3 linked regions of the Elephas maximus indicus genome follow. The protein of the gene in region 3 interacts with the protein of the main gene of each other region in a biochemical or structural test. Links are inferred from orthologs where the notes say so. Each region holds a gene or a part of one and is shown on either strand. Other genes may lie near its edges.

Region 1 (7,577 bases), on a different chromosome or scaffold from region 3:
TGGAAAGTAACAATGATATATTCAGATCTTGCTGTTACTTGTATATTAACTATGTTTTCACAGACTGAAATTTCTGAAACTGTTTTAAGGTGAAGAAAATTAGATCGCTCTCACAGGGGGACTACAAACACAAAATCTCAGAATTCAACGTAACTATTTCCAGCCTTCTACATCGTAGTCAACTAGGAGGGGCAGGCTAGAGAGATAAGAAGAGCACTTTAGGCAACTTCCTTAACATTGTTTTCTCCTTTGTAAATGGAGGTGATATTACATGTGAGCTGTAAGGCCCCCTCAGTTTAATACTCTATTACTTCCACCACTTTTCTTTTTGAAAGTAGCCAGGAAGTTTCAGATCAACCTGGGTGCGTGCTAAGAACACAGGGTCCTGAACCACAGTGAGCACGCACCCATCCATCGGTTTTAAGCATACTCCTGCTATATTCAAAGTCCTCGCTTCAGGTCTAACGATAACGGTAAGTCATCATCATCACAGAAACGCACAGGCTGTTAAAAATGAACACAAAACCAGCTGGCCTAGACGTTGAGGCTGTAAACTAGTAACCCATGGCCAAGTGCATCAAACACATAGCAGAGAGATACATGTGTGCACAAATCCATTTCAGCCAGAACTTAAATTTCTGATGATGAGTGCCTTCAGCCAGGTCGTGGCTTCTCCAAAGTGGAACTAAATTTTGTTCATTCTAATATAAATCAACATTTATGGAAGTGAATTATACTAGAGAGTATCTATTTCTAGTTTCCATGGGGGAAGTTGAAATTTGCCCAAAGTTCAAATTTCTCCTTTCAAAACTTGAAGTCTTCAAAACACTTCAAATTTATGAACTCAATTAGCAGCAATAAAAACTTAGAAAATAGGAATTAATCTTCAGTAAATCGGGATAGTAAAATAAATTAGATTGGCTCTGTGTCTAGAGCCCAAATTGAAATAAATTATCTAACAGTTTGGTGAATTTATAATATCGCTGTGGGTTATTTTCCTGAGTTTCAAAAAGGTATGAGTTAGGAGCTAGTGATAGAGAAATTTCACGAGACATCTTGAAGAAGGGGGAAAAAAAAACAACAAAAAACCACGCATTTCAGCAATTTTTTTTTTTTTAAACTTAAAAGGAATAATGATTGCAAGATAATTTTATTGCGGGAATAATAACTGATTTATGTATAGCTTTTAATCCTTCTGTTACTTTAAACAAACAAAGCAGTTCACTAACGGTTAGAATCTGCAAAGCCAGAGAGGAGAACCCAATTAATTTCATCCACCCTTCTGGAAAAACAACTGGTGGAAATCTGTAGTGCTCAATCATCGATGATCCCCCAAATTACGAGGAGACTGCAAAAAACATGTTCAACCCATTTGACAAGCAATAATGCCAATCTGGAGTCCCTCCACGTTGTGCTTCGTGTCCCCCTCCCTACCGCCTCCATCCCCATTCTCTCTCTGGCTTTAGAAAAGTAACGCTTTTGTCAAGCAGGGACAAATGACTTCATGTTGGTGGATAGCAGGAAAAGCACACAATGACTCTTGGAGCCATCTGAGTCTGGGCTTGTGAGAGCTGAAAAGGAAGATAATCAAAAAGAACTGGATGAGCTAATTCCTACAGACCCAGACATACAGGACTACCAGGCAAAGGGTTAGTACTCCATCAACGGATCCTTACGTGCTCTGAAAAGAACCTCTTTGAAAATGAGGCTACAATCTTCCGGGCTTCTAACCCTGCTTTCTGTCGAACTTTATATTCCTCCAACCAATTGACGTAGTCGGTGGGGCTGTAGTGTTTCATAAGGGAAGGCCACCTACAAGGAGAGAAACACCCTCTCAGCTTAAGAGACTTGGGATTGCAAAGGCAGCCTGGGGAACCTGGGTGGCAGCAGTATGGGTCAGTAGTGATTAAGGGACCCTGGCTCTAATTCAAACCTCCACCAGGGCCGCACTCAGGCACTCACTCCTGGTGTGACCTTGGCGAAGTGACATCACTGCTGTCTCCATTCCCCATCTATAAAATGGGGACAATAGTAGCACCAACAATAACAACAAGTAACATGTATTGGGCGCCTTCTAAGAGCTGGGCCCTAATGTAAGGGCTTCCCACACATCATCTTATTTAGAAACCACTCTAAGAGGCAGGTCTCATTATCATCACCATTCAAAAGTCCACGAATAAGGCTCAGAAAAAGGGAAGTCACTTCTCCCAAGGTCATGAGCGAGTAAGTGGCAGGGCCGAGATTTTATCCCGGGTCCAACATTGAAATCTGCTCTCAACGAACAACCAGGGGATGTTGCGCTCGCTTCCTCCAAGGGCTGTTAGGACCACTGCGTTCCCCGATCCGTGTAAACATTTTAGCACAGACTCGGGCACAAAAGAAGCGCGCAAACTGGATTAGCGGTGACACCGCCATCGTCATCCTTCATGGAGGGCCAGTCTGCTGGCACTTCCAGATGCGCAATTTGGGCACCGGAGGGTCCGCAGCGGCGTAGACCCGCGGGGCTAGCGGCCTGGAGGCCTTTGTTTGTCTGTCCGTCCGCGGGAAAGGGGCCGGGGGTGGGGTCCTGGTGCGGCGGCCGCAGGGAGGGAGGGGGCGGCTGAGGCCCGGCAGGCCCGGGGTCCTGGGGGCGCAGGGCCGGGACTGCGGGCCGCGGGCTCGGGGACGCGGGGAGGGTCGTGGAGCCCGGAGGCGGGGCCGGGGCGGGCTGGCGGCCGGGGCCGCGGGCTCACCTCACCCGGAACTGCTCCTTCCACACCTTCCCGCTACTCTGGCATAGCTCGCGCAGCCGCCGGCAGGTGCTGGAGACGCGGCCGATGTCGGCGGCCGTCAGCGAGCCGCTGCACAGTATGTACTCCAGCACCTCGCCCGGCAGGTTGACCAGGCAGCTGAGTCCCGCCGCGTCCGGCGCGGCCTCCTCCGCCAGCACCGGCACCACCTCCATCGCGCTGTCGACCACTGCCGCCGCCATCTTGTCCGCGTACCTGGGGCCGCCGCGTGCGCGCGCGCCAGGGCGCCCCGCTTCGCCCCGCCCACCCGCCTCAGGGGGCGGGCCCCAGATCGCCCCGCCCACTCGTGGCCACAGGCCGGGCCGGGGGTTGCTCTGCGCTGCGGGAGCGGCCAGTGAAGGAAGCGGTCTGGGAAAACGTGCTGTGTCCAGGACCTGTGAAGGGTCTCTAGCCCTCTATTCAGGGGCAATAAGAATAGCAGCCATCTTTCTTATATGTATGCCGAACACCTCCTGTGCATTAGCTGATGGGACCTTCCCAACAACCATGTTGTTGTTGGGGGCAGTAGGGGGCGGGGAGGATTCCGATTCCTGGGAACCCCATGTGACAGGGGAGAACTGCCCTATAGGGTTTCCTAGACTGTAATCTTTACGGAAATAGATCACCAGCTCTTTCTCCCGCGGAATGGCTGGTGGGTTAAAACAGCTGACCTTTCCGTTAGCAGCTGAGCTAACCATTGCACCGCCAGGGCTTCTTGTCCCAACAACCACATGAACTATTATTATCCCTCATCCCAAATCACCGGTGAGGAAACTGAGGCTCAAGGAGGTAAACTGTTTGCTTGGGACCCCTTGCTCTGGGTTCTAATCCACATTCTCTTGACTTCTGCTTTACTGTGTTCTTAACCAGTATGCTGTAATAATCACAAAAAAGTGCCAAGCGCTTTCCATATATGTTTTCGAGGGCTCCTCATTCGAGCCCTATGGGATAGGTACCTTGATTATGCCCATTCTACAGATAAGGAAAACAAGGCTCATAATGGGGTTGGCTCAAAGTCAGAGATAAACAGTGGTATAGCCTGGGTTTCAACCTTCAAAGCAGGGATTACCACTCAGATGTAGGTGGGTACTCTTCTCAGTGCCTACAACTTCTTTTCTTAATTCAACTCAGTTCAGTGCCAGGCCCTGTGCTGTGTGCCCTGGGGATACCGAGGTGAGTAAGACAGAGTTCTTTGCCCCAGGAGCTCAAGGTCCAATTAGGGAGGACAAGCAGGTCTGTTGTCAGTACATGGAGGCTGCCGTAGAGAACTCCCCCTAACCTGGAAATCAGGATGCACAGAGAGTTGAACTAGTAATGTCCCTCTTAGTGGATGGGATAGAGCCATCTATGGCTCCCTACTGCCCTTAGAAATAAATCTGAAACCCCTGACATTGTTGCAAAGGGACAAACCCCTGTCTACTACTCCTTGCCTCTATCCAGCCATTCTCTCCCGCAGCAGCCACACACAGCCAGACTGGTCTTCTCTTTCCTCCCCCTTCTGGCCTTGACACACATTCTATTCCTCTGCCCGGAATGTACTTCAAGCCAGCACAGCACTCCTTCTTCTAGCTGTTCTTCCTCTTCCTCTGTAGTCATTAGGTGCCATGGAGTTGCTTCTGACTCATAGCTACCTTATAGCAGGGCTTCCAAGGGGCTATATTCCATTTCAAACCCCTGCTGAGAATTTGCATTTCCAAACCAGATTTAGTAAATACAATCACCTGGGGATCTTGTTAAACTGTAGATTCTGACTCAGAAAATCTGGAATGGGAATGCAAATTCTCGGCAGGGGGTTGAACCACGGTTGGAAGCCCTGTCCTATAGAACCCAGTAGAACTGCCCCGGAGGGTTTTCTAAGCTGTTATCCTTATAGGAGCAGATTGCCAGGTCTTTTCTCTCGTAGAGCTGCTGGGTGGGTTCAAACCGCCAACCTCTCCGTTAGCAGCAGAGCACTCTAGTCCTCAGTTTAACCTCCCTGGATGTCCCCCCTTCCCTCACTCACCTCCCTCCCACACACCAAATACAGCTCTTTCCCAGCACTTTGCAGTCGTGTAGTTATTAATACCTATTTGTTCAACTTGCATCAGAAGCGATTTCAGAATCAAGGCCATGTCTGTTTGAATCACCTCTGGATGCCCAGTTACCGGGCACAGGCCTGGCACATACGTACATAGCAGATTCTCAATAATTACCTGTCGATTGTGTTTGTCTAACCAGCTGTGTGACTAGACCAAGTTACGTAGCCTTTCTAAGGCTCAGTTTCCTCATCTGTAAAATGGGGATACTAATTACAGATGAGGAAACCGAGCCTGGTGGCACAGTGGTTAAGTGCTCAGCTGCTAAACAAAAGGTTGGTAGTTTGAACCCACCAGCTGCTCCATGGGAGAAAGATGTGGCAGTCTGGTTCTGTAAAAATCACAACCTTGGAAACCCTATGGGCAGTTCTACTCTGTTCTATAGGGTCTCTATGAGTCGGAATTTGACTCCACAACAATGGGTAATAATGTCTGCCCCCTGGGGCTGTTGTGAGGATTAAATGAGTAAATTCATGTGTAGTATGTAGAACAGTGCCTGGCACACAGAAAGTGCTCGATAAAAGTCTGTTACATTGAAGAGTGTGCTTCTTTGTTCAAGGAGGTACACGAGACAAAATGGGCAGCTCCTGTCTGGAGGCCGGATGAGAAGGCAGAAAGGGACAGGAGCTGGTTGAATGGACATTAGAAACCCAGGGTGGAAAGGAGGAGTGTGCTGTCACATTACAGGGATACCAACTAGGGTCACATAACAATGTGTGTATAAACTCCTGTATGAGAAATTAACTTGAGCTGCAAACCTTCACCTAAAGCACAATTAAAATAAAAAAAAAAAAGCCTATTATGAGGAAATGGGGAGAAAACGCTTAATGGGTACTGGGTTTTATTATTTATTTATTGTGCTTTAGGTGAAAGTTTAGAAACCCTAGTGGCATAGTGGTTAAGAGTTAACAGCTGCCGACCACAAGGTTGGCAGTTCGAATCCACCAGGCGCTCCGTGGAAACGCTATGAGGTAGCTCTACCCTGTCCTATAGGGTCGGTTTGAATCAGAATCGACACGACAGCAATGGGTTACGGGTAGGTAAAAGTTTACAGAGCAAATTAGTTTCTCATAAAACAACTAATACACAAATTGTTTCGTGACATTAGTTGCCAACCCTGAGATGTGTCAACACTCTCCCTTTCTCCACCCCGGGTTCCCCATTTCCATTCGTCCAGCTCTCCTGTCCCTTCCTGCCTTCTCATCTTTGCTTTGGGGATGGTGTGTCCATCTTGTATACACGATTGAACTACAAAGCATGTTCCTCAAGTGTGTTATTGTTTGTTTTATAGACCTGTCTAATCTTTGGCTAACGGTGAGCTCCAGAAGTGACTTTAGTCTTGAGTTAAAATGGTGTCTGGGGGCCGTAGTCACAGGGTCTCTCCAGACTCCATCTGGCCAGTAAGTCTGGTCTTGTTTTTTCTTTTTATTGTGCTTTACGTGAAAGTTTACAACTCAAGTTAATTTCTCATTCAAAAATTTATACACACATTGTTTTATGAGATTGGTTGCAATCCCCACAGTGTGCCAGCATGCTCCCCCTTTCTACCCTGGGTTCCTCATGTCTGTTCTTCTAGTCCCTGTCCCTTCCTGCCTTCTCATCCGTCCAGCTTTTGGACAGGAGCTGCCCATTTGGTCTCGTATATCTGATTGAACTAAGAAGCACATTCCACACATGTATTATTTTTTGTTTTATAGGCCTGTCTAATCTTTGTCTGAAAATTGGCCTTCGGGAATGGTTTCAGTTCTGGGTTAGTGGAGTGTCGGGGGCTATAGTTCTGGGAGTTCCTCCAGTCTCTGTCAGACCAGTAAGTCCGGTCTTTTCAGGTGAATTTGAATTGTTTTTTTCCGGGTTTGATTTTGGGGGTGATGGAAAAGTTTGGGAACTAGATAGAGGTGGCGTTAGTTGCACAACATTGTGAGAGTACTAAGTGCCACTGACCAGTTCACTTTAAAATGGTTAATTTTTTGTTATGTGGATTTGACCTCAATTAAAAAAAAAAAGTGTGTTACTACTATTTCTGCTACTACAGCTTCTACTCTCATGAAAGCAGAAAAGTGTGGGGCAGCTCCGGCAGTCAGGCAGAGCTGGGGGAGAGTCTGGGCCTTCACCACCTTTAAATCCAGTAGATGTTTTCTGGCCTTGCTCTTGCCTTCCCTCTAGCAGTAGCTGACTCTGTTTACTACCCTGCTCCCTCTGGACCTTCTGGAAACACTGGTTTGCCTTGGCATCTGTGGCCCCACCTTCTCTTGGTCCTCCCACCTCACCCAGATGTCACGTGTTGGAATTCCTCGGGTGCAGGCCCCCTCTTTCACTCTCTCTTCTGACCATATCACCCCTGTCTACAACCCAAATGACAATCCAAACCCAATTTAAACCTTCACGTTTCTCTCTTCCACCCAGCCTGCTCTTGTAACATCTAAACTCTCTTAGCCAACTGCTGACCTGACATTCCCTTTGGGCCGCTCAAAATCAGTCTCTCCAGGAGGTAACTCTTTCCCCTCAACTTCACCTTGTCCTCCCCCAGTGGTTCCTGCTTTAGGAAAGGGTTACCCATCCACCTTTTTCTTGCAGAACAGAAAGTTGTAGCCATCCCTGCCTCCTCTCTTTCCCTCATCATTCATAACCAAATGCCCAGTAGAGTTTCACTTCTCTGGGCCTCAGTCTCCTCACCTGTAAAATGGGTATCATGATAGGCCTTCCTATTAAATGAAACAATACATATACATCAGTT
Region 2 (6,711 bases), on a different chromosome or scaffold from region 3:
GGGAAAGTGAATTATTCTACTATAGCAGTTCCAGAGGCCTTGTCTGTTTCAACTTGGGAATGGGCTGCTTCATTTGCCTGATTGGCTATGATCAGACTCTTAGTGAGGGGAGTGGGAACCTGTAGGGGGTAAGGACCAGAGAAGGAGTCAGTGGGGGTTTGGGGATGGGGGAGAAGCCCCTGCTCCAAGGATAAAACCAAGGAGGTACGGGGGTTTTGAACTAATCCTGTCCCCTGAGTTCAGACCCAGATGCAAAATAAATCTTCCCAGAAAATGAAATCATCAAGCCATCCTGAAAAATTAATACCTCAATTCCCCAAGGCCCAGCTCCTGTACCTGTTATGGCTCCTTCCCCCCGGACTCCCTCTGAAAGGGGCAGGATGGACCCTGGAGGTGAGATGGTCCCTTCCACACGCACAAACTACAGTATCAGACTCTGAGGGTGTCATACCTTTTATTACAAAAACCAATAACTTAAGTGAGTTCTGTACAAGGCAGTAGACTTTTGGCCCAACGAGCAGCCTAAGTGTCCATTCTCATCCCAGACAGGAGAGTAGTCTTGGGCCAGAGGCCCTGGGGACCACCAAGGGCTAGCCAGACAGCTGGAGCACTGTGTCCAAACCAAAGAAGCCAAGGCAGGGTGGAGCTGAGTGAAGGTCCCATAGCCCATCTGGCTAGACTAGGCGTGGCTTGCTGTCTATATAGGCTTGCCCCCTTCAGAAGCACTGGGTGACTCCTGGGGTCAGCCAGGCTGAGTCAGTGCTGCTAACCTCTGCCCAGCCTACACCTGATCTCTGCCTGGGCCGGAGCAAGTCAGCTCAGCAAAAGCATGTCCTCTAGAAGGCCAGCCATGTCGACGTCTCCAATGACAGGGCGAAAAAAGAGGTCCCCAAGCAGGCCAGGTGGGATGGACTTGAGGGTGGAGGCCATGAGGAGGATCCGGGCCAATCGGCCTTGGCCTATTGGCCACCAGGCCTCCAGGACCTCACACAGCGCCTGGTGAGCCTCCTGCTGTAGGTACCCAATGTGGGAGGGGGCGAGGAGGCCTGGCACATCTGTGGGCAGACAGGGTGAAAAGGACTGGTGAGCACCCCACTCCCAGCCATCAAAGGGCAAGGCTGCCAGCAGACACCTCTCTGCCTCCTTTGCTCAGCCTTTGAGGCCCAGTCATGACCTCCTCCTATTCGTTGCTCACTTTATTCATCCATCTATGTATAGAGGGGCAGTATAAAGTAATGGTTAAGAGCTGCTTGGGTTTGAATCCCAGTGCTGTCAATTATAAGCTATGTGACCTTAAGCAAGTTACCTCATCTCTGTGCCTCAGTTTTCCCTATCTGTAAAATGGAAGTAATAGTACCTAGTTCATAGGCTTATTTTGAGGTTTAAATGAGCTAGTGTATGTAAAACCCCTAGAATAGGGCCTAACATACAGTAAGTATAATATGAGCATTCACTACTATTATTATAATGAATTACTGTAAGTAAGCATTCTGTGAGGCCCTTTGGTGGGGAACTCTCATCTCAGATGCTCTCCAGATTAAAAGAGCCCTATCTCCAACTTTTTGCTTGTATCTCCAACTGGTGCTGTCCTGGTGAGTGTCACTAAGACTCCCTCCCTCTCCCGAACACGCCCTTTGTTCCTCCCTTCTATGTGGTTTTTCTGAACCCACGGAGTTCTACCTTCAGAGAAGCTTACTACACGGTCTGCCCCTGGAGATGGGATCGAAACACAGCTGCATCTGCCCGTTCTCACCCCATTCCTGCCTTCCCTAAGGGTAGGGAAACATTTTGGGTACAGAGTAACAAGGGCCAGTCTCTGGAGCGAATAGACCTGAGTTCCTGATCCCTGTCTTGCCCCTACCTGGCTGCATGACCTTCAACAAGTCACCTAGCCTCTGTGGGCCTCTTCACTGAGATGAGTATTTAATGATAATATGGACCCAATGAGATAAAGGATGTCAAGCCCTTAGAAGGTGCCTTCCCTGGATGAGCCTTATCCACCTCCCCCTACCCCAAGCCTTGACCCATCCCTCCAAGAGTGTCCGGAGGCTCACCAGGGTTGAAGAGGATGGTCTTTTTCAGGTAGGCATACTCTTTGGGGCCCAGCTCCAGGCTCCAGAAGGACTCCAGGCAGCACTGAAGCCACTGTACTGCAGCCAGGGAGGGCTGGGGCCTGTCAGGAAGCTGACTGCTGCTGCCACTGCTACCAGGCTCCTCCAGCAGGATCTTCTTGAGTATGCTGGCCACTGGGACCTCGGCCACCTCGAAGGTCACAGTGTCTTGGGCCAGCCCAAGCAGGAAGAGTGGACCCCAGCAGTCCCGCAGCAGCCGCCGCTGATCCTGGGGGGGCAGCTGGCAGAAGGATGGCAGGTTCTTAAGGAAGGCCACCGTCTTGCCCAGAACATCCAAGGCCTCTTGGCAGGTACGGTGGGGAGTACACAGGCGGACAGGCTTGTGCTGCTGGCACAGGCAGCGGCTATGAGTTGGGGGGACGAAGGGCCTGGCCCTGAGGCTAGGGCTCAGGAGTGCATGCAGGATGGCTGGGCGGCCGGCAGCACCCTGGCATGGGCAGGCCGCTGGCTGGCTGGAGCTCATGGTTGGGATCTGTTTCTCCTTCTTCCTAGCTCTCCCGCCCTCTGCTCTGAGCTGTGGGTGCTATTTATATCCCCGAGGGCGGGAGGGGGGAATGCCCAGACAACCTTGACTCCTGGAGTCATGTTCATTGAAAAACACACACACACACACACACACACACACACACACACACACACACACACACACACACACTGACCCTGGCAGGACTGACAGGGAAGTGGCAGGGGAGGGGCACAGTGGGTGCTCCATGTGGCACTGATATCACTTCTGTCAATGAAAGGGCCGGTGCAGGGCACAAGGCCGCCTGCCAGCTGACCCCACTGCCCCTTATCAGGCGACTCAAGCGGATAAACAGGGTCATTAACCCAGGCTGTACCAGGGCACCAAGGCCTCAGGTGCGCAATCAGCAGGTGACCATGGCAGGTGTCCCTACTGGTGCCCTGCTCTTGTGTGCACGCAAGACCAGGGCTCTCACTAAGCCAGGCAGCCAGCCCAGAGCTGCGCAAGCCTTGAACGCAAGCCCAACCTGGAAATGCCTTATCGCTGGCTTGTTTGTCTAACCTTGGGGCCCTGAGCCTGTTGTTGGTAAGTAACAGGCAGTGGGGGAGGGAGCCAGGACCCTGGGAGGCTGGAGGACTGTGCCCACTATCTAGAGGCCCCTTCCCTGACTCCAGCTCTGGGGGCCTGTCATGGATTGAATTGTGTCCCCCAAAAAATTTGTGTCAACTTGGTCAGGCCATGATTCCCAGTATTGTGTGGTTGTCCTCCATTTTGTGGTTGTAATTTGATGTTAAGAGGATTAGGGCAGAATTGTAACACCACCCTTACTCAGGTCACCTCCCTGATCCACTGTAAAGGGAGTTTCCCTGGGGCGTGGCCTACACTACCTTTTATCTCTCTCTTTTTTAATTTTTATTGTGCTTTTTTTTTTTTTTTTTAAGTGAAAGCTTACAAATCAAGTCAGTCTCTCAGACAAAAATTTATATACACCTTACTATATACTCCTAATTGCTCTCCCCCTAATGAGACAGCACACTCTTCCCTTCACTCTCTATTTTTGTGTCCATTTGGCCAGCTTCTGACCCCCTCTGCCCTCTCATCTCCCATCCAGACAGGAACTGCCCACATAGTCTCATGTGTCTACTTGATCCAAGAAGCTTACTCTTCACCAGTATCATTTTCTATCCCATAGTCCGGTTCAATCCCTGTCTGAAGAGTTGGCTTTGGGAATGGTTCCTGTCTTGGGCTAACAGAAGGTCTGGGGACCATGACCTCTGGGGTCCTTCTAGTCTCAGTCAGATCATTAAGTCTGGTCTTTTTTACAAGAATTTGAGATCTGCATCCCACTGCTTTCCTGCTCTCTCAGGGGTTCTCTGTTGTGTTCCCTGTCAGGGCAGTCATCGGTTGTAGCCAGGTGCCATCTAGTTCTTCTGGTCTCAGGCTGATGTAGTCTCTGGTTTATGTCCACCTTTTATCTCTTAAGATAAAAGGAAAGGGAAGCAAGCAGAGAGTTGAGGACCTCATGCCACCAAGAAAGCAGCACCAGGAGCAGAGTGAGTCTTTTAAACACGGGTCCCTGCACCTGAGAAGCTCCTCAACCATGGGAAGGTTAAGGACAAGGACCTTCCTCTGGAGCCAACACCCTGAATTTGGACTTGTAACCAACTAGACTGTGAGAAAATAAATTTCTCTTTGTTAAAGCCATCCACTTGTGGTATTTCAGTTATAGCAGCACTAGGTGACTCAGAGAGGGGCCTGCAGAAATAAGCTCCTTTAGAATTCCCTCTCCCCAGCCTGGATTCTCTGAGCTCCCAAAAAGCCACATCTGCTGAGAAGCCCTCACAGATTAATAATAAAACATGGCTGCCATTTACTGAGCACCTACTACATGCCAGGTACTTTGCACTCTAATATTCAGAACTTCCTTATGGGGCAAGATTTTTACTTTGTGAGACTTAAAGAGGTGAAGCCATTTGCCCAAGGTCACGCAGCTAGGAAGGGACAGAGCCCAGATCTGTCTGACTGGGAAGTCCTTGTTTGTTCCCTTCAGCCACTGGTCCAATCATGCAACCAGAGCTGGTGGCTACCTGGGTGAGCACCCACTTTGCTGCTGCTGGGTCTGCAGGTGATGCCCACTTGTGCTCTGGGCAGAAATATTGCCCTGCCCACAACATGACTCCTCTGTCCTGGGCATCTGTCTCACGGTGGGGTGTGGGGTGGGGGAGGAGGTGAGGAGGTCCTCACCTGTGTCACATCCCTGCACCTGGGCAAGCTCAGCCTGGCAAACCTTTTGCTTTCAGAGTATAGGGCAGCCTGCTACCCTGGGAAGGGAGAGATACGTGCTGTCACCACCTAGCCTGGGCATCTGCTCCGGGCTCCATCACATTCTGGCTGTGTGTCCTCTGTGGGCCCCCGGCACCTCATTTGGGGCAATAATACCTGCCAGCAGAGCTGCTGTGAGGACAAAATGAAATCCTGATTTCAAGTTCCAAGCAGCTTCTGGCACACAGTAGGGGGACTTTACTCCCCTTTTCCTCTGCCTAAGGAACTAAATACCTGCAGAAAAACAGGCACACATCTTTCATTTAATTGTGAATAATCTTGGTTCCTTGAATTTATAAAGTTCCTGTCATGTCCTTTTATCTCGCTGGATCCTCACTGCATCCCACTGGAGGAGATTCTGGAGATAGATTGCCTAGGTTCAAATCCTGCTGCATCACTTCCTAGCTGAGTGACCTTGGGTAAATCACTTTATCTTTCTGTGCCTCAGTTTCCTCCTCTTTAAAATAGTGGCAAGAATGGCCAGAGGTGGATACTGGTTTTATGGGGCTTAGAACGTCTTATACAAATTGCAGGGTCCTCTTTAAGAAGAGAAAATTAGATATCAATGTGAATATTAAGCATGCGAAAACAAATTGCTACGAATTATAAATTTAAAATAAACTGACAGAAAACACAAACAAACCCAGGAGAATAGCAAGATATTTTTATTAACAAATTTCCTGATAATATCTGCCTACATATTTTTAAATTGTGGTGAAACATATATAACATAGAATTTGCCATTTTAACCATTTTTAAACATACAATTCAGTGGCATTAATTACATCCACAATGTTGTACAACTATCACCACTATATCCAAAATTTTTTTTGCCTACAATTTTTAGCTACACACTCTTTGTTCACCTCTTCACATGTCAATGATTTATTTGCTTTTATTTCAAAACAATCACAAACTTATGGAAAAGTTGGAAGTACAGTACAGGGAAGTTTTTTTCCCCTGAACCATTTGAGAGTAATTTGTCAATCTCATGTCCCATAATTCCCTGTAATATAAGGCAAAATCAGGAAATAGCCACATACTTTCTCCTACAAACCACAATAAAACCACAAAAATCAGGAAATTAACACTGAACATTGAACATTGAACATCTGTATTAGTTTCCTAGCGCTGCAATAAGACACCACAAATTGGGTGATTTATAAGAACAGAAATTAGTTGTGTCACACTTCTGGAGGTTAGTAGTCCAAATTCAGGGTGTTGACAAGGTGATTTATAAGAGCAGAAATTGGGTGATTTATAAGAACAGAAATTATTTGCATCACAGTTCTGGAGTTTAGTAGTCCGAATTCAGGGTGTCAACAGGGCCATAGTCTATGAAGTCCCTAGGGGAATTTCCTTTCTTGTCTTTTCCAGCTTCTGGTAGCCCCAGGAATTCCTTGGTGTGTAAATGCATCTTTACAAGGGAGTTTTTCCTCTGTCTCACTGTGTCTCTTCTCTTTTATAAAGACATCCATCAGATTGGATTAGGACCCACCCTACTCCACTATGACGTCATGTTAATTTAACTGATGACATCTTCGAAGACCCTATTTCCAAACAGTGACAGGCTCCAGGGTTAAGACTTCAATATATCTTTTTGGGGGACACAACTCAATCTGTACCACCAGCTAATCTTAAACCACATTTTAATTTCACCAAATGCCCCAGAGAAATCTGTGGCACTGAGAGGACTCGGTCCAGGATCTTACATTGCATTTATTTGTCATGGCTCTTTAGTCTCTGGCAGTGTGGAAAAGCCCCTCAGTCTGTCCTGGTCTTTCACAACTTTGA
Region 3 (7,944 bases):
CGGGGCAGCTCTACTCTGTCCTGTAGTGTTGCTAGGAGTCAGAATCGGCTTGAATAGGTTATGGATAGGTGTAGAAAACCCTCCCCAAATCATATTATGCACTCATAAGGTTGTCCGAGTTCCTTCCACCCACTCCGTCCCCCAAATCAGGACCATGGTTTCCTCAGAACACCTTTAATTTCCATTAAATGGCCAATTTATAAGGTACATGCAATTATTACACCCATATTCAGTTAAGGACTTTAAAGTAGAGAAATAACTTACCCAGTTACAGACCCAGTAAGTAGTGGGGCCCAAATTTGAACCAAGTACTCTGATTCCAGTCTGTGAGAACTCCAAAATTTAAAAGAAATGTGATTTTTACACCCCTAAAAGGGGCGTTAAAATGTTGCCATTTTCCATCTTCAGTAAATATTAATCATTTTCAGTGGTCTCTCAGGTTACTTCCTATTTTTAAAACCACTAACCAGTTGCAGAGCCCAGGTCTTTCTTCTTAAGCTGTCTTCAAACTCAACAGGGAATGTGGGTTTTCTCCCCATCCTCCTTGCTCCCTGCTCAGTCTGAGAGGGAAAAAGAAGCATAACCTCCCAGTTCGCACAGCTGTTTTTTCCTGAGCCTTTATTTGGAGGTAAATGCAACTGGCGTTTATTGTGTACTGCCATTCTTTTTTTTTTTTTTCAGAGCACTGTTAATTTATATTGCGTAATCATTTACAGATGCATTTGACTGCAGCTACAGGCTATTTGAGAAAGCAGTGGAAGAGCTGAGAGGCAGCAGGATTAAAATGTATAAACGCCAATGTTTTACCTCCTGTCTGTCCCCTCTCCTTACCCCACCAGGCTACTGTTTGAGTGATCGTGACCATCCTTACTTAATGGTCAGTCTTATATTTTACAGAAAAGAACCCCCTTCCCAAAGAACAGGGTGACTAACATAAATAAAGCCGAGTTGTCCTGTGGTACTGGACGTGCCTTTATCGCTCTAGTGAAGCGGGAACATCAGGTAATTTTACTAGTCATCACAGAGCCTGCTGATCCTGTTTTTACTGGGTGCAGCCTTCTAACAGTTTTTCCTCCTGGAACTTCAGGATCTTAATAAACACAGCAGCATGCTCACTGACACTGCAGGTTTTCCTAGGTTGGCAATACTTAATTTACTCAGTTTGCTTTCCACAACTTAATCTGTGCATCAGGTATCTGAAGCTGGATGCTTTCCCTTATAAATACTGGTTAAATTTAAATCATTAAGTGGTTGCAGTAATTCATACAATAAAAAGTGCAATACTATTAGCCAAACAAAGTACACAGAACAAGAAATTTTATTATCTGGAATGCTGGTGCATTACAAATAACAAGCTTAATTAGAGGAGGAGAGAGAGGGAAACCTCAGATACTGAAGTGGATTTCTGGGCAGGTTTAAAACCTTTAGAAGATTAATAACATAATTGTTCAATTTTTTTAGATGTACAACTTTCCTCTTACGTTACAATTTGCACCCACAGTTCTTATAGTATTAATTTCAACTAAAATCTTTTGCCTGTTAAGTGAGAGAGGAACAAAACAGAAATTTCCCCTGTGTATAAGAGTGTTAGAAATTATTTTTTTGTACTTTCAGTAACATACTGTCTAAAATTGTTAATGAAAGAGGTCTTAATTTTTTACCGTTTAAAGTGGTCACGACATGGATTTTCTTGTATAGACCATCGTAGCTTTATAAATGATCAAGATACATATATAAACAAAATTAAGATGCTCTGGAAACACATTTAAAGATACAGCACATGTGATATTTTTGGATTTGCTCATCTTTTTGAGATACTGAAAACAACTCAATTTATGTTACAGTAATAATTTAGCGTTTGATAACTACGACTTGAATAGGTCACAAAATCAGAATTTTCAAAGTTTTCTCAATAGGCTTCCAGTCCAAATAATTCAAAGACATCTTGTGTCCCACGCTGGACATTTTCGTTGTTCTTTCTCATCAGACAGGTACTATCAGTGGGCTCTTTTACTGGCAGTTCGTCTTGGTCATTCCCTGTTCTTGCAAAGCCATCCCTTGCTGTGCAGCCGATATGAAAGCTATTTTCCCAACACAAGGGAAACAATCTGGATTAATAGCAAAGTCAAAGGCATGGGTGTTTCGGGGCATTCTTGAAAACATTTCTCAACAGTCCGCAGGCCCTTCCTTCTTGGCGATTCTCTTCGTTTCTCACAACTGTGCAGTCACTGTCCTATCCTCTTCTACAAAATGAACACAATGTTTTTTGTTTTTGAAGATCAAGTGTTGCATTGGCACGGAGCTATTTCGAATGAACCCAAAAAATAATGGGATGCTGGGTCTCTCCTCCCTCTTCCACCAGCCTTTGCTTACTCCCTATCGATCATCTCATCACAGCCGAGTTCCTCGGTCAGACGATTGACAACCATCAGGGAAAAGAGCTCTTCGATAAACGCCAACTGATCAAACGGGGTCTTCTCGTACTGCACCTGAAACCCGCCGTCCAGGGCGGCCTCCCTGGCTCCGGACGTTCGCAGGAACAGCTTGTTGGCTTCTTCCAGGGCCGCCGACACCCTGTAGCCGGCACCCCGGAGCTGCTGCTCCTCGGGGTAGTCGTAGTCGTCCTCCCAGTCGTCCAGTTCCTCGCCCTCGTCCCCGCTCTCCCCGTCGGCGGCCGCCGGCCCGGGCTGCTCCCCGCCGCCGCGCCCGCCCGCCAGGCCCGCCGCCCCGGCCATCGGCGGGGCCTCCCCCTCCTCCATCGGGCCTTCCTCCTCCAGCTGCGGCACGGCCCCGGGGCGGGCGGGGCTCGGCGACGGCTCGCGGCTCCCGCTGCCTACCTCCATCTGCGGAGGGTCGCTGTCGCCAGACATCACGTCCATCTGCAGGTCAGGGCTCTCCTCGTACAGCTCGGACAGCTCGGACATCTCCGCCATGATTGCAGCCGCTCACACGCTAGCCAAGCGTCCCCAGCGAGCGCGGAGAGACGCGGCGCTGCGCTTGCGCAAACGCTCTGCGGGTGCGTAGCCCCGTACGCATGCGCGGCTCTGCGGCTGCCGCCTCCGCCTGGGGCGCTGCTGGGGTGGGGGCCGCTGGCGGGTCTTCGGAGACAACGTTGGGAGTCCGAGCGGCCTGACGTCTGCGCGTCGGTGGATTCGAACTTCACACCGAGAGACTGTGCGTGCAGGGGCACGACTGTCTTTGCCCTGCTTAGCCGTTCCGCCGCTTGTGGTGCTGCGGAGTTGAACGCCCCGCTGCCTTCGTGACAGCACTTCACCCTCCTCCCGCTCTTCCCCCCGCTCCTCCGGCGTCTCCTCCTCCCAACCCCCGTCCCCAGGCAATCACAGCTGTTCTCAAGGGTTCGCGGCCTTGGGTTTAAGCGCCACATTTCACACAGACACGCAGACACACAGACACACACCCCGTGGAGTCGATCCGACTCCTACTTCTCCAAGCTAGACTGTATTCTCGACCACTGATCTAGCTTATGTATGCGTTCTGCTTTTCTGTTTTCGTCACTTAAAAATACCTTAAATTCACAAAGAGTAAGTACCTGTGTATTGGGTTTTCCCTAAGTACCACTGAAGAAAAATTCATCGTCGTTTTCTCCAGGAGGTAACTTTCTACGAATATCAATTCGGTGTGTGTTCTTCCAATCCACTTTTTGCATGTATATGGATCTTTATGTCCCTTTGGAGAATATATTATTTTCTATGTGTGTGCGTTTTTACATATTTCACGTAACGTCCTCTAAAAAAGCCTGGACAATTTAGCTTCGTCAGTATGCGTACACATACCACTTTATTTTTGCACAGCATTCTATTGGATAGATATGCTATACTTGACCTAACAATGGGCAAATATTTTTAGATTTTTTAAAATATTATAACCATTTATCCAATGTGCCAGTGTTTCCCTAGAGTCAATACCTAGGAGTGGAAAGGCAGTATTGTAGGGTATGTATAAATCAGTTGCTATAGTAGAGTTGATTTTGATTTGTGGCCGCCCAGTGTGTGTCAGAGTAGACCTGTACTCCACTGAGTTGTTTTTTTTTTTTTTTGATTGTGCTTTAAGTGAAAGTTTACAGCTCAAATTAGTTTCTCATACAAAAATTTATACACACATTGTTCTGTGACCCGTCTAATGTGTCACACACTCCTCCTTGCCACCCCGGCTTTCCTGTGTCCGTTCAACCAGCTGCCATCTCTTTCTGCCTTCTCATCTCGCCTCTGGAAAGGAGTTGCCCGTTTAGTCTCCTGTATCTACTTGAACTAAGAAGCACTTTCTTCACAGCAATCATTTTATGTCCTAGAGTCCAGTCTGATCTTTGCATGAAGGTTTGGCTTCAGGAATGATTTTAGTTCTAGGTTAACAGTCCAGGGGCCCTGTTTTCCGGGGTTCCTCCAGTCTCAGTCAGATCTTTTTAGGTGGATTTGAGTTCAGCACCCTGCCTTTCTCCGGCTCCCTCAGGAACTCTCTGTTGTGTTCCCTGTCAGGGCAGTCATTGGTGGTAACTGGGCACCACCTAGTTCTTCTGGCCTTAGGCTGATAGCATCTCTGGGTTATGTGGCCCTTTTGTCTCTTGGGCTAATATTTTCCTAGTGTCTTTGTTGTTCTTCATCTTTCTTTGCTCTATGTGGGTTGGGATCAATTGATGCATCTTAGATGGCTGCTCATAAGCTTTTAAGACCCCAGACGCCACTCACCAAACTGGAATGCAGAACATTTTCTTAATAAACTTGGTTATGCAACTAGATGTGCCCTGAAACCATGGCCCTACACCCCTGTCCCTGATACTCTCTCCTTCAGAGTGTTGGGTTGTATTCAGGAAACTTCGTAGCTTTTGTTTCAGTCCAGTGTGCTGATTTGCCTTGTATTGTGTGTTGTCCTTCCCTTCAGCTAAGATAATTCTTGTCGGTTTTGGTGGTTTACTATCTAGTTAGTGAATACCTCTCTCCCTCCGCCCCTCCAGCCATCGAAGAATGTTTTCTTCTGTTTAAACCTTTTCTTGGTTTCTTAAAATAGTGGTCTCATACAATATTTGCCCTTTTGTGACTAATTTCACTTAGCATAATACCTTCCAGATTCATCCATATTATGTTTCACAGATCCATCATTGTTCTTTATCGTTGCATGGTATTCCATTGTGTGAATGTGCCATAATTTGATGGGCGCCTAGGTTGTTTCCATCTTTTTGCTATTGTGAACGGTGCTGCAGTGAACACGGGTGTGCATAAATCTATTCCTGTGACAGCTTTTATTTCTCTAGGATATATTCTAAGGAGTGGAATTGCTGGGTTGTATGGTATTTCTAGCTTTTGAAGGAAGCGCCAAATTGATTTTCAAAGTGGTTGTACCATTTTACATTCACACCAGCAGTGTGTAAGTGTTCCAGTCTCTCCACAACCTCTCCAACATTTATTATTTTGCATTTTTTTGAGTTAATGCTAGCCTTGTTGGTATGAGATGGTTTCTCATTGTAGTTTTGATTTGCATTTATCTAATAGTTAATGATCGTGAGCATTTCTTCGTGTATCTGTGAGCTGCCTGAATATCTTCTTTAGTGAAGTGCCTGTTCATATCCTTTGCCCATTTTTTAATTGGGTGATTTGTCTTTTTGTAGTTGAGGTTTTGCAGTATCTTGTAGATTTTAAAGATTAGATGATGATGGGAATTTTCATAGCTGAAAATTTTTTCCCAGTCTGTAGGTAGTCTTTTTATTCTTTTGGTGAAGTCTTTTTTTTCTCAGTTATCTAGTTTTTCTTCTGGTGTTTGTGCATTGCTAGTAATGTTTTATGTTCTGTTTATGTCATGTGCCATGGCTCCTAGCATTGTCCCTATTTTTTTCTTCCGTGATCTTTATCGTTTTAGATTTTATATTTAGGTCTTTGATACATTTCGAGTTAGTTTTTGTGCATGGTGTAAGGTATGAGTCTTGTTTCATTTTTTTGCTGGTGAATATCCAGTTGTGCCAGCACCATTTGTTAAAGAGACTGTGTTTTCCCCATTTAAGGGACTTTGGGCTTTTGTCAAGTTTTAGCTACTCAGAGGTGAAAGAATTTACATCTGGATTCTCAATTCTGTTCCATTGGTCTATGTATCCATTGTTGTACCAGTACCAGGCTGTTTTTACTACCGTGGCGATGTAATAGGTTCTGAAATCAGGTAGTGTGAGGCCTCCCACTTTGTTCTTCTTCTTCAGTAATGCTTTACTTATCCAGGGCCTTTTCCCTTTCCATATAAGGCTGGTGATTTGTTTCTCCATTTCATCAAAAAATGTCGTTGGAATTTGGATGGCAGTTGCATCGTGTTTGTAGATGGCTCTGGGTAGAACTGATGTTTTCACAATATTGAGTCTTCCTATCTATAAGGGTCGCTATGAGTCAGAATCAACTCGAGGGCACTGGATACTGGGTATCTATAAGCAAGGTATGTTTTTCCACTTATATAGGGCTCTTTTGGTTTCTTGCAGTAATGTCTTGTAGTTTTCTTTGTGTAGGTCATTTACTTCTCTCATTAGATTTATTCCTAAGTATTTTATCCTCTTGGGGGCTACTGTAAATAGTATTGATTTGGTGATTTCCTCTTTGAAGTTCTCTTTGTTGATGTAGAGGAATCCAACTTATTTTTGTGTGTTTATCTTGTATCCCAACACTTTGCTGAAGTCTGGTTTTAGTTCCAGTAGTTTTCTTGTGGATTCCTTGGGGTTTTCTGTGTGTACGATCAGATAGTTTTACTTCTTCCTTACCAATTTGGATGCCCTTTATGTCTTTTTCTAGCCTAATTGCTCTGGCTGGGACCTCCAACACAATGGTGAAAAAGAGTGGTGATAAAGGGCATCCTTGTCTGGTTTCATGTTCTCAAGGGGAATGCTTTTATACTGTCTCCATTTAGGATGATGTTGGCTGTTGGCTTTGTATAAATGCCCTTTGTTATGTTGAGGAATTTCCCTTCTGTTCCTGTTTTGCTGAGAGTTTTTATCATGAATGGGTGTTGGACTTTGTCAAATGCCTTTTCTGCATCAATTGATAAGATGATGTGGTTCTTGTCTTTTGTTTTATTTATGTGATGGATTACATTAATTGTTTTTCTAATGTTGAAGCATCCTCACATACCTGGTATGAATCCCACTTGGTCATGGTGAATTATTTTTTTGGTATTTTGTTGAGTTGTATTGGCTAGTATTTTGTTGAGGATTTTTGCATCTATGTTCATGAGGGATATAGGTCTGTAATTTTTGTTTTTTGTGGTGTCTTTACCTGGTTTTGGTATCAAGGTTGTGCTGGCTTCATAGAATGAGTTTGGGAGTATTCCATCCTTTTCTATGCTCTGATAAACCTTTAGTAGTAGTGGAATTAACTGTTCTCCAAAAGTTTGGTAGCATTCTCCAGTGAAGCCATCAATGCCAAGGCGTTTTTTGTTGTTGTTGGGAGTTTTAAAGTTACTTTTTCAGTCTCTCTCTCCTTTTTTATTATAGGTTTATTTAGTTGTTGCACCTCTGTTTGTGAGAGTTTAAGTACGTAGTTTGTTTCTACAAATTTGTCCATTTCCTCTAGGTTTTCAAATTTGTTGGAGTACAATTTTTCATAGTATTCTGTTTTAATTTCAGTTGGGTTTGTTGTGATATCGCCCATCTCATACCTTATTTGGGTTATTTGCTTCCTCTCCTGTTTTTGTTTTGTCAGTTTGGCCAATGGTCTGTCAGTTTTTTTTTTAATTTCAAAGAGCCAGCTTTTGGTCTTGTTAATTCCTTCAGTTGTTTTTCTATTCTCTATTTCATGTAAGTTTGCTCTAATTTTTTTTATTATTTGCTTTCTTCTTGTGCCCGAGGGCTTCTTTTGCTGCTCTCTTTCTATTTGTTTGAGTTGTAGGGTTAATGTATTGATTTTGGCCCTTTCTTCTTTTTGTACATGTGCATTTATTGCTATCAATTGACCTCTGAGCACT

Evidence for each region. The genes of interacting proteins can lie anywhere in the genome.
Region 1: of the proteins of EID1 (region 3) and FBXO21, one has a biochemical effect on the other in vitro, tested with the Homo sapiens proteins (2 studies listed by BioGRID, with this or other methods). The link is inferred for Elephas maximus indicus from reciprocal best matches to the Homo sapiens genes EID1 and FBXO21.
Region 2: the proteins of EID1 (region 3) and NR0B2 form a complex in vitro, tested with the Homo sapiens proteins (3 studies listed by BioGRID). The link is inferred for Elephas maximus indicus from reciprocal best matches to the Homo sapiens genes EID1 and NR0B2.

The regions. Positions count from the first base shown.
Region 1 is NC_064840.1:14,886,199-14,893,775, forward strand, and holds the start of FBXO21 (F-box only protein 21), read right to left. Parts: upstream 3,006-7,577; 5' UTR 2,972-3,005; coding exon 2,733-2,971; intron 1,813-2,732; coding exon 1,677-1,812; intron 1-1,676. UniProt on the Homo sapiens protein: Substrate-recognition component of the SCF (SKP1-CUL1-F-box protein)-type E3 ubiquitin ligase complex.
Region 2 is NC_064821.1:67,348,306-67,355,016, forward strand, and holds NR0B2 (nuclear receptor subfamily 0 group B member 2), read right to left. Parts: upstream 2,623-6,711; 5' UTR 2,596-2,622; coding exon 2,055-2,595; intron 1,056-2,054; coding exon 814-1,055; 3' UTR 506-813; downstream 1-505. UniProt on the Homo sapiens protein: Transcriptional regulator that acts as a negative regulator of receptor-dependent signaling pathways. Specifically inhibits transactivation of the nuclear receptor with which it interacts.
Region 3 is NC_064828.1:6,458,836-6,466,779, forward strand, and holds EID1 (EP300-interacting inhibitor of differentiation 1), read right to left. Parts: upstream 3,017-7,944; 5' UTR 2,934-3,016; coding exon 2,370-2,933; 3' UTR 170-2,369; downstream 1-169. UniProt on the Homo sapiens protein: Interacts with RB1 and EP300 and acts as a repressor of MYOD1 transactivation. Inhibits EP300 and CBP histone acetyltransferase activity.